Linked DNA regions of Notamacropus eugenii. The protein of the gene in region 1 binds, or shares a complex with, the protein of each later gene. Links are inferred from orthologs where the notes say so. Each region holds a gene or a part of one and is shown in the gene's direction. Other genes may lie near its edges. The genes, in order: PPP2R2A and IER5.

What was found.
Region 2: the proteins of PPP2R2A (region 1) and IER5 are in contact, whole or in part, in a cryo-EM structure (PDB 8UO5), measured with the Homo sapiens proteins. The link is inferred for Notamacropus eugenii from reciprocal best matches to the Homo sapiens genes PPP2R2A and IER5. Residues at the interface, in NP_002708.1 of Homo sapiens: Glu91, Ile92, Glu93, Glu94, Asp116, Tyr178, His179, Asp197, Leu198, Met222, Leu225, Thr226, Glu227, Val228, Thr230, Ser247, Phe280, Phe281, Glu283, Ile284, Ser287, Cys334, Tyr337, Glu338, Asn339, Asp340, Phe343, Lys345; in NP_057629.2 of Homo sapiens: Ala7, Arg9, Ile10, Ile13, Ser14, Lys17, Arg25, Gly26, Lys29, Leu30, His31, Lys32, Leu34, Leu35, Val36, Leu38, Val39, Leu40, Arg41.

What each region holds. Positions count from the first base shown.
Region 1 is NC_092872.1:744,066,628-744,070,530, forward strand, and holds the start of PPP2R2A (serine/threonine-protein phosphatase 2A 55 kDa regulatory subunit B alpha isoform), read left to right. Parts: upstream 1-1,248; 5' UTR 1,249-1,371; coding exon 1,372-1,408; exon of another isoform or gene 1,409-1,752; intron 1,753-1,999; coding exon 2,000-2,074; intron 2,075-3,903. UniProt on the Homo sapiens protein: Substrate-recognition subunit of protein phosphatase 2A (PP2A) that plays a key role in cell cycle by controlling mitosis entry and exit. Involved in chromosome clustering during late mitosis by mediating dephosphorylation of MKI67.
Region 2 is NC_092873.1:464,456,530-464,460,432, reverse strand, and holds IER5 (immediate early response gene 5 protein), read left to right. Parts: upstream 1-1,559; 5' UTR 1,560-1,868; coding exon 1,869-2,738; 3' UTR 2,739-3,543; downstream 3,544-3,903. UniProt on the Homo sapiens protein: Plays a role as a transcription factor. Mediates positive transcriptional regulation of several chaperone genes during the heat shock response in a HSF1-dependent manner. Mediates negative transcriptional regulation of CDC25B expression.

The sequences.
Region 1 (3,903 bases):
GGCTTGCGGAGCCCCGGGAGGTCGCGGGCTCGGCCGACCTCGGGGACCTGCGGCCGGCAGGCTGGCCGGGAAGCGCGCCTTTGTAGCCCGGCACTCGGAGGTCACGCGTTCCTCCGGAGGTGCCCTCCCTCCGAGACGGTCCCCGCGTTGTCCGTGGTCTCCCGTGGATCCGCCGGGCCTCGTGGATGCCCGACCTGACCGCGGAGGCCGCGGAGTGGGGCGGCCCCAGAAGCTCGGAGCCCCGAAGGTGCAGAGGCTCCCGGGCGGAGGTCACGCTGCTCCAGCGCCTCTTGTGTTAGACCGAAGGAGGGGGAGGCCCGGCAAGGTCCCCTCTAAACGTGGGCCAGCCCCGGACTCGTGCCCCCGAGGGGCCCGGCCGGCCCGGCCTCCAGCCCCCGGGATTGTCAGGCCCAGAAAAGTCCCCGTCGAGATGAGCCCCCTGGTCTTGTAGATGAAGCAGTCCAAGCGTGGTGCCAAGGGTGGAAAACGAACCCAAACTTTCATCTTTGCTTGAAGGAAGGCCTGTGCCCGTGCCACTTGTGTCTCTGCCCCTCTCCCAGGGGTGGGCGTTTGGGGGGCTGGTTCATGGAGTTCAGTGGTTCTTGTGCTTATTAGTTGAGCAGTTCGCTGAGAGCCAGTGGCGGAAGAGAGAATCACAGTCTAAGAGCTGGAAAGGCAGAGTAGCCATTGATTCCAATCTGTACGAGCCTGTATTGGAAAAATGAGATTTTACCTACTGACATAGGAGGAAGAGGACTTGGTAGGTATGGGGAGCATCTTCTGTTAACGAAGAGTGGGAGTGCAGAGAGGAAAAAAAGAAAATACATTTTTTTCCCCCAGCAAATTTCCTGGGTCTGAAAGATTTCCGTCACTTAAGAGAATCAGGAATAGACCATTTAATTGTGTTACCCTTTCTCCTCCACAAGTTTTCTTCACTGTGCTTCCATCTATAGCAGTGTGAAAGACAGAAACATCACAGACTGAGCTAATTCTTTATCTCGAAATCCAGATGGATTTTTGCACTTCAGCTTGTATTTTCTATTTTTTAATGTGTTGGATTGAACTTGTGATTTTGCTAAAAAGCACGTTGCTTTTTGGCCTTGTTAATCTAGTAAAATTAAAACTGTTGCACAAGATGGTAAATTACATCTGTTGCTTGGCCCTTTGGATTCTGAGGGGTGGGGTGAAGGAAGAAAGAAACTTCCTTTTGACAGCCTCTTTAGCAGCATTCATTTCAATTACTTTTCCTGTATGTAATGAATGAGTGATTGGCTGGCAATGAAATGTAGAAAAATGGGTGGTGTTTTTGGGGGGAGGGGAAGGTGTTGGTAGCAAGGTTCAAATGAATCACCATCTTTCACAGAGCCAGAAATGTTCCTGAAGTTGTCACTTCGTGCAGTGTTTCATGGTAGTTTTAGTTTATTAACTGTAACACGGGATATTGTCTGCAGATTTAAAAAGAAAACCACTTTAAAAATGGTTTACTTTTTTGTATTGCTTTCTGATCTTTCTTAACTACATGTGATTAGCATCGTTTTTGGAGAGGAGGTGAAGATTAAAGAACAGTTTTAAGCAGAAGTGCAGTGTTAGTGATCAGCCAATGAGTTCATGCTCTTAAAAAAAACTTAATTCCAACATTAAAAAAAAACTTCGAAGACAGTTTTTTTAAGTGATGTACTTTCTCAAGGGTCCAAAGGCACAAAATTGGTCAAGAACTGTTTTAACAAACTAAGTCTCAATAACTTTTTCTTTGTAAGTAATGAGTTATGACTTTTTTTCTTGATCTTGAATCTAGATCTGATCACAGTAGCAGAAAAAATTCCTAATGATGTTCTACTACAACTTTCTCCAAGTTGGAGATTTAGGGGCACAGAGGTTCTCTGAGTGGGCAGCTGTCGCTAGTGGTGCTGTGCTGACCTTGGACACTAGCTCTCTGTTTGGGGTGGGGGAGTGAACAAAACTCAGACATGATGTTAATGGGGATTGTTTTTCCTTTTAGGAGCTGGAGGAGGAAATGATATTCAGTGGTGTTTTTCTCAGGTGAAAGGGGCAGTCGATGATGATGTAGCAGAAGGTAAGAATATTTTTTAACAATGGAAGTTGAATATAAACTAAGCTGGATATTCTTTTAAATTTTGATTCTGCAGAAATAGTTCTTGCAGATGATGGCTAGTAAAGCTGTTGGTTGTGTGAGAGCCTGGGCCAGCCTCAGGGGCTCTCTAGTTGGGGCTTGCTTGGAGGGCAGCTACCCAGAGCTCAAGGAAAACCTCTGACTCGGGCCATAAAAGCAGTCCTTTGCTCTCTATTCTGGGTGCTTTGTTTTCATCCTCCCACCCACCTGCCTTGTTAATTTAAGAAAATTCATGACTTAATGTTAAAATGAACAGTTCACACAGAACTGTAGACTTACAAAGACTTGGGAGCTCTTTGTTGTAAGTAAGCTTTTTGCTGCTTGATTTTCTTCGTGATACATTGTACTCATCTTGAAGGTTTTTTAGCTTAGACAAACAAGTGTGGAAACTGTACTTTTGAAGGTTGACTCTGTTTCATACATGTACCAGTAAAAGTTTTTTTTTCTGTAATTTTTTCTTTCTGTCATTAGAGGAAGTTTTAAATATTGCTGACTTTTTATTTGTTTTTGAAGCTAACTTTTCATATTAATGACCAACACAAGTTCTCAAAAGTAGACCTTTCAGATCCAAAGTTTTCGTTTGTCTCTGGAAAGTATGAAAGTATTTCTTTGTGTGTTATCAGAAGCTCTAATTTGATGCCTGTTTAATAGGATCTAGATGTTAGTTTTGCTACACATTTAAAATTTTTTTCTAATTAGAAATCTTATTTTTAATGAAGTGCAAGAAATTGGCAAGCCTTTTGTGTCTAGTGTGAATCATTTTCTCCTTCTCCTGTGTTCTCCCTTCACGTAAAAAGAGGGCATTAATGGACTTTCCTATATCCATATCTGCATGGTTTTTCCCAGGAGTTGTCACAGATTTGTGTTAAGCCAGCCCTGGAGCTTTTCCTCTCAAGTTGTACCAGTGGGGCATGCTTTAATGATGTGGCTGGCCAGGGTTAGGTGGAGTCCTGATCATGAAATGGATTTTTCTTTTCGGGAAGTCAGCTGGCATATATATTATTGGCACCAGGTTCATCTTAGAGTGCTTATGCTTCAAAGTGGGCTTTGCCTTCAGGGAAGCTTTTGTGGGAGAGGTGGCATTTGAAGTGGATCTTAGCAGCTTGAATGAAAGCCCTGAGCTAGGGAAGGGAAGGCTTGACCAGGAAACGTCCCTGCCTGGGAGTTGGGACTCTAAAAGGGGTGGGGTACTGTTCATTTGTGGAAGTCTTTCTGGAGCAGATTAAGGCATTAGACTATTTGGCAGGTAGTAGGGAGTTATTAGAGAGGTTTGATCTTCACAAGGAAGGCCTGTTGGAAGGGGGAGTGATGTGGGGTGGATGGGTCTATTATAATAGGTCGCACCTTTTAATAGCAGTCTGGTGTCTAAAATAAATGAATTCTCGATTTCATTTGAATTTAATCTGAGTATTACATGTGTTACGTATATAAAATATCTGTCTCTTAACCTTTAGATTGGGAGAACTGAGGACAAATGGATATTTAGAAAGCCATATCACAATATCTTGTTCTAATGCTTTATATTAAGATAAAATATGGTTTCCATTTTCCTGTTTTTCAGATGGATGCTATTTTATTTTGTGGGTGATTCTGTTTGCCAGGTTTTTGTTTTTTTTTCCCCTTCCTTAAATTAATATTATTCTTGCCTGCTGGACTTTTCATGCGAAACGATTTTGCCTCAGTTTCAGTCAACATTTTATTTTGAAAATAAAGCCGAATATCAGGCTTTTTGATGTATATGTTCTAAGGGACTGTGTTATTTGAAACGGTCA
Region 2 (3,903 bases), on another chromosome or scaffold:
GTATCTTGTTTTATTAAATATGTCATGGGCATGTGGAGGCAGAGGAATTGGATTCGAATTCTAGCTTTATGGATTACTACCTGTGACTCTTCAAGTGCTAAACCTTAGGAGCTCTATGTGTGTTCCTGAAACGTTTCCTGTAAAGAAAAATCTTAAAATTATATTTTGTATGCACTTTGAGGAGAAGCTATTTGAAGAGAAACCGTGGGGATATGTTTTTGGAAAGAAAGCAAACGGCTCCTTAATTTAAATGTTTTCTAAGTCTGGATTTTTGGTATTTTGGCTTTTCTTAAACAAAGGCAGATCTATATCTTGAAAAGACATCGTATTGTGTTTCAAACAGTTCAAAACACTTCCATTCATGTATTTACTTAACACCTTCCCCAACTATATACATATATATATATGCACACACTATCTATCTATCTATCCGTCTATCTATATACACACACACACGTATATGGAAGCTATTTAAATAGCTCCGTTTTTTTAAAAGTAAGATTAAGTGTGCTGAATGGATGTGCCTCCAGGCACCTCCAAACCAAGCTGGAGGACAGCTCCCCGGCACCTCGGGAGATCTCCCGCCGGGAGGATTCCGGGCTGGGGGCCGCAGGGCCTCGCCCCGCCGGGGGCTCCGCCGCCCGGCCACACGGGCTGCGGACCGAGGACCAGCACAACTAGCAGGCGGCGCCGCCGGCAGCCCCGCAGGAGAAGCCCCCCGAAGCCGCGTTCGTCCCCTGGCTGCCGGGGCGGGCCCTCGCGGGGCACGCGGCGTCTGCAGCCGGAGCAGCGCTGGAGGCCGGCAGGTGAGGGGCCCGTTAACAGCCCGTGCGGTCGGGTTCCCACGCCTCAGCCCGGCTACGAAACCTCCTTAGCCAAGTCTCTTAAAGTGGAGGCGGGGCCGGGGGGGAGGGGAAAAGGGTGGAGGGAGAGGGAAAGGGCGTGTGTCCGCGTACCGTGGGGGGAGGGGCGCGGTCGGGAAGCGATCCTGGCTCTTCCTTTAGAGTGGGAAAGGACCTCCGAGGCTCTGGCGCCTGCTCCCTCCTGTACGGACGGGGAAACTGAGGTCCAGGGAGGCTTAAGCGACTGCCGGGGAGCCAGGATCCGAGCCCGGGCTTCTCGGCCTCCGACGCTCTTTTTACCGGCCCCGGAGCTCCCTCTGAAGGGCACTCACTCGCCGCTGGGGTGTCTCTGGGGTGGGGGATGGGGAGTCGGGGTGGCCGCGGCCGGGGAGCCACCGTTAGGAGGGCCAGCTTCGGCTTCGGGAATCCAGCCGTGTCCAGTACGCACCTGAACGCCCTGCCCACCGCACGAACAGCCGAACAAAGGGCTTTCCCCCGCCTCCTCCGGGAACGCCCGAGCGCCCCGAGAGGTGACACCTCGGGGACTTGGCCGGCTCGTTCCCCTCCCCCCTCGAGCACCGCTTCCTCTTCCTCGCTGTTTCCCCCTTTAAGAGAGGGCTCCGCGGGACTAACGTTCGAATCTGCCCTGTCTCCGGCCCGCGGCCTCTGATTGGCTGAGAGGGGCGCACGAGGGAGCGCGAGCTCTCCCCGAACCGGTCGGAACGGTCGCTAGTCTCTCCTGATTGGCTGGCGTGAGAGGACTATATAAAGCCGCCGGGTCGCCCGTCTCCGCTCAGTTAGCGGCGGGACTGGTTGCCAAGCTCCCGTGTGCTCCGTCGCGGCCGTGAGAAAGGGGTCAGAGCTCGCGTCGCCGTGGTCCCGGTTGTTTGTTCGCTCGCTTTGGGCCGAGGGAGGAGCTGACGCGTCTCCGCCTCCGGCCCCACACCCTGCCCGCGGACGGGACGAGGGGGTAGCCGCCCGTGAATCGGCCGCCCTCGAGCTGCGGAGGCGCCTGAGCGAGGGACGATGGAGTTCAAGCTGGAAGCTCACCGCATCGTCAGCATCTCCCTGGGCAAGATCTACAACTCGAGGGTTCAGCGCGGCGGCATCAAGCTCCACAAGAACCTGCTGGTGTCGTTGGTACTTCGCAGCGCCCGCCAGGTCTACCTGAGCGACCCCTGCCTGGGCGGCCCCGGGCCGGGCGCGCTCGCGCCGCCGCCGCCGCAGCTTCCCGGGGGGCCGGCCCCGGGCTGGGGAGAGCCGCTCCCCAGGGACAGCAGCATGGAGCAGGACCCGGAGCCCGCCCCCGAGCCCCTCGGGGAGCGCCCGCCCGAGGGGTCGCCGCCGCCCCGAGCCGAGGCGGGGCCCGAAGCCCCGAGGCGCCGCGTGGAGGAGGCGGAGAGCGGCGGCGGCGGGGAAGGCGTCCCGGAGGGGCCGCCGCGGGCGCGGCTCTGCTGCTGCCGCCGCCTCCCCGGCTCCTCGCGCGGCGCCCCGCGGGCCGACTGCTCCTGCCACCCGCGCCCGGACGAGGGGGCCCCGCCACCGCCCGTCTGCCCCCGGAAAAGGAGCGCCTCGGGGGCGGGGGGCGGCCCCGGGGGGTGCTTGGCTTCGGGCGGCTCGCCCGTGAAGAAACCCCGCAGGGACTCGGAGGAACAGCCGGGCGAGGAGGAGGAGATGGAGACCGGTAACGTGGCCAGCCTCATCACCATCTTCGGGTCCAGCTTCTCCGGACTCTTGCGCAAAAGCCCCGGGGGCGGCCGGGAGGACGAGGACGGCGAGGAGGAGGAGCAGCAGCCGCCGCGCGGTCCGGAAGCGGCGGAGCCCGGGCCCATGTACTGCGACAAGCCGGTGTTAAGAAACCTCAACCCCTGGAGCACTGCCATCGTGGCCTTCTGATCGCCCGGGGCCCGGGCGGGGGCGGGGGCGCCCGGGGAGAGACTGAGGCGGTGCCGCCCCGAGCCGGGCCCCGCCCCCGGCCCGCCGCCCCGCCCCCTCGGAGCCGGCTGGGCAGCGGGACCTGCCCGGGGGCGAGCCGCGAGCGGACTGTGCCCGCGCCGCCGGGCCCCTGGGCGCCGGGGGGGCTTGTGTTATAAAGTGTTTTTGTAAGTTGATTGTTGAAGTAAGGCTTTCTTGTCACCGGGATTCCGGGCTGGGGCTCGAGACGCTGGGGGCGGGCGGGGGCGGCGCGGAGCCGGGACTTTCCTGCAGGGGCGGCGAGGAGGAAGCAGCGCGGCCGGGCCGGGAGCTGGGGGAAGGGACTCGGCGAGCCCCCCCACGACCGGCCCCGCGCGGGCCTCGTGGGCGCCCTGCGCAGCCCGGAGCGCGGTCCTGGGGGGAGGGACAATTCTTGTTGACAGACTCTGAGGTCTCCCCCCTTCAGAAAGCTTGGTGAGCTTCCTAGAAGAGATCAAGCTTGAAATACTGAGTTTATAAGGAAATATATATATAAACATATATATATTTTAAAAGCTCTAGGTCAGAATTATTACACAGTGCTTTTAAAAAGTGTTTAATGAAAAAGTTTACAGATGCCCTAATGGAAAGGCCTCGTGGCTTTAGTAGATGTGATTACTCCCGTCTTTGTTGTATAAAGGCTGGGGGCTTGTAGAGTTTTTGTACAGTATTTTCTTCGTGTATTGACATTTTTTTTGTATAAAATGTAACTTTACGTGTCTGACACGTATTAAATATTTTGAAGCAACCTCACTGTCTCCTTTTCTGTAATCACCCGCTTGGGATTGGGAGGAGCGAGAAAAGGACCGTGGTCCCACCGACCAGGGTGATATTGTTGAAATAAAATATATTTACGGCCGAGTACGGAATAGACCAAACTGGGGCAGCTATTCAATAGATGAGAAACACCAACGTATGATTCCAGGTTGGAATCATATTCTTTGAAGTTTCCTGTAACCCAGTCTGAAGGGGGTATGGCGGTCCTTTGCCTGTAGGATTTCCCATGAGCACTGTTTTATCCTTTCCACTAAAATGTCTTTACCAGTACTTTGAAGTAGAATAAATAGGTTTATGGAAAAACTACACAGCCAGTTGTAATGTAGCTCCT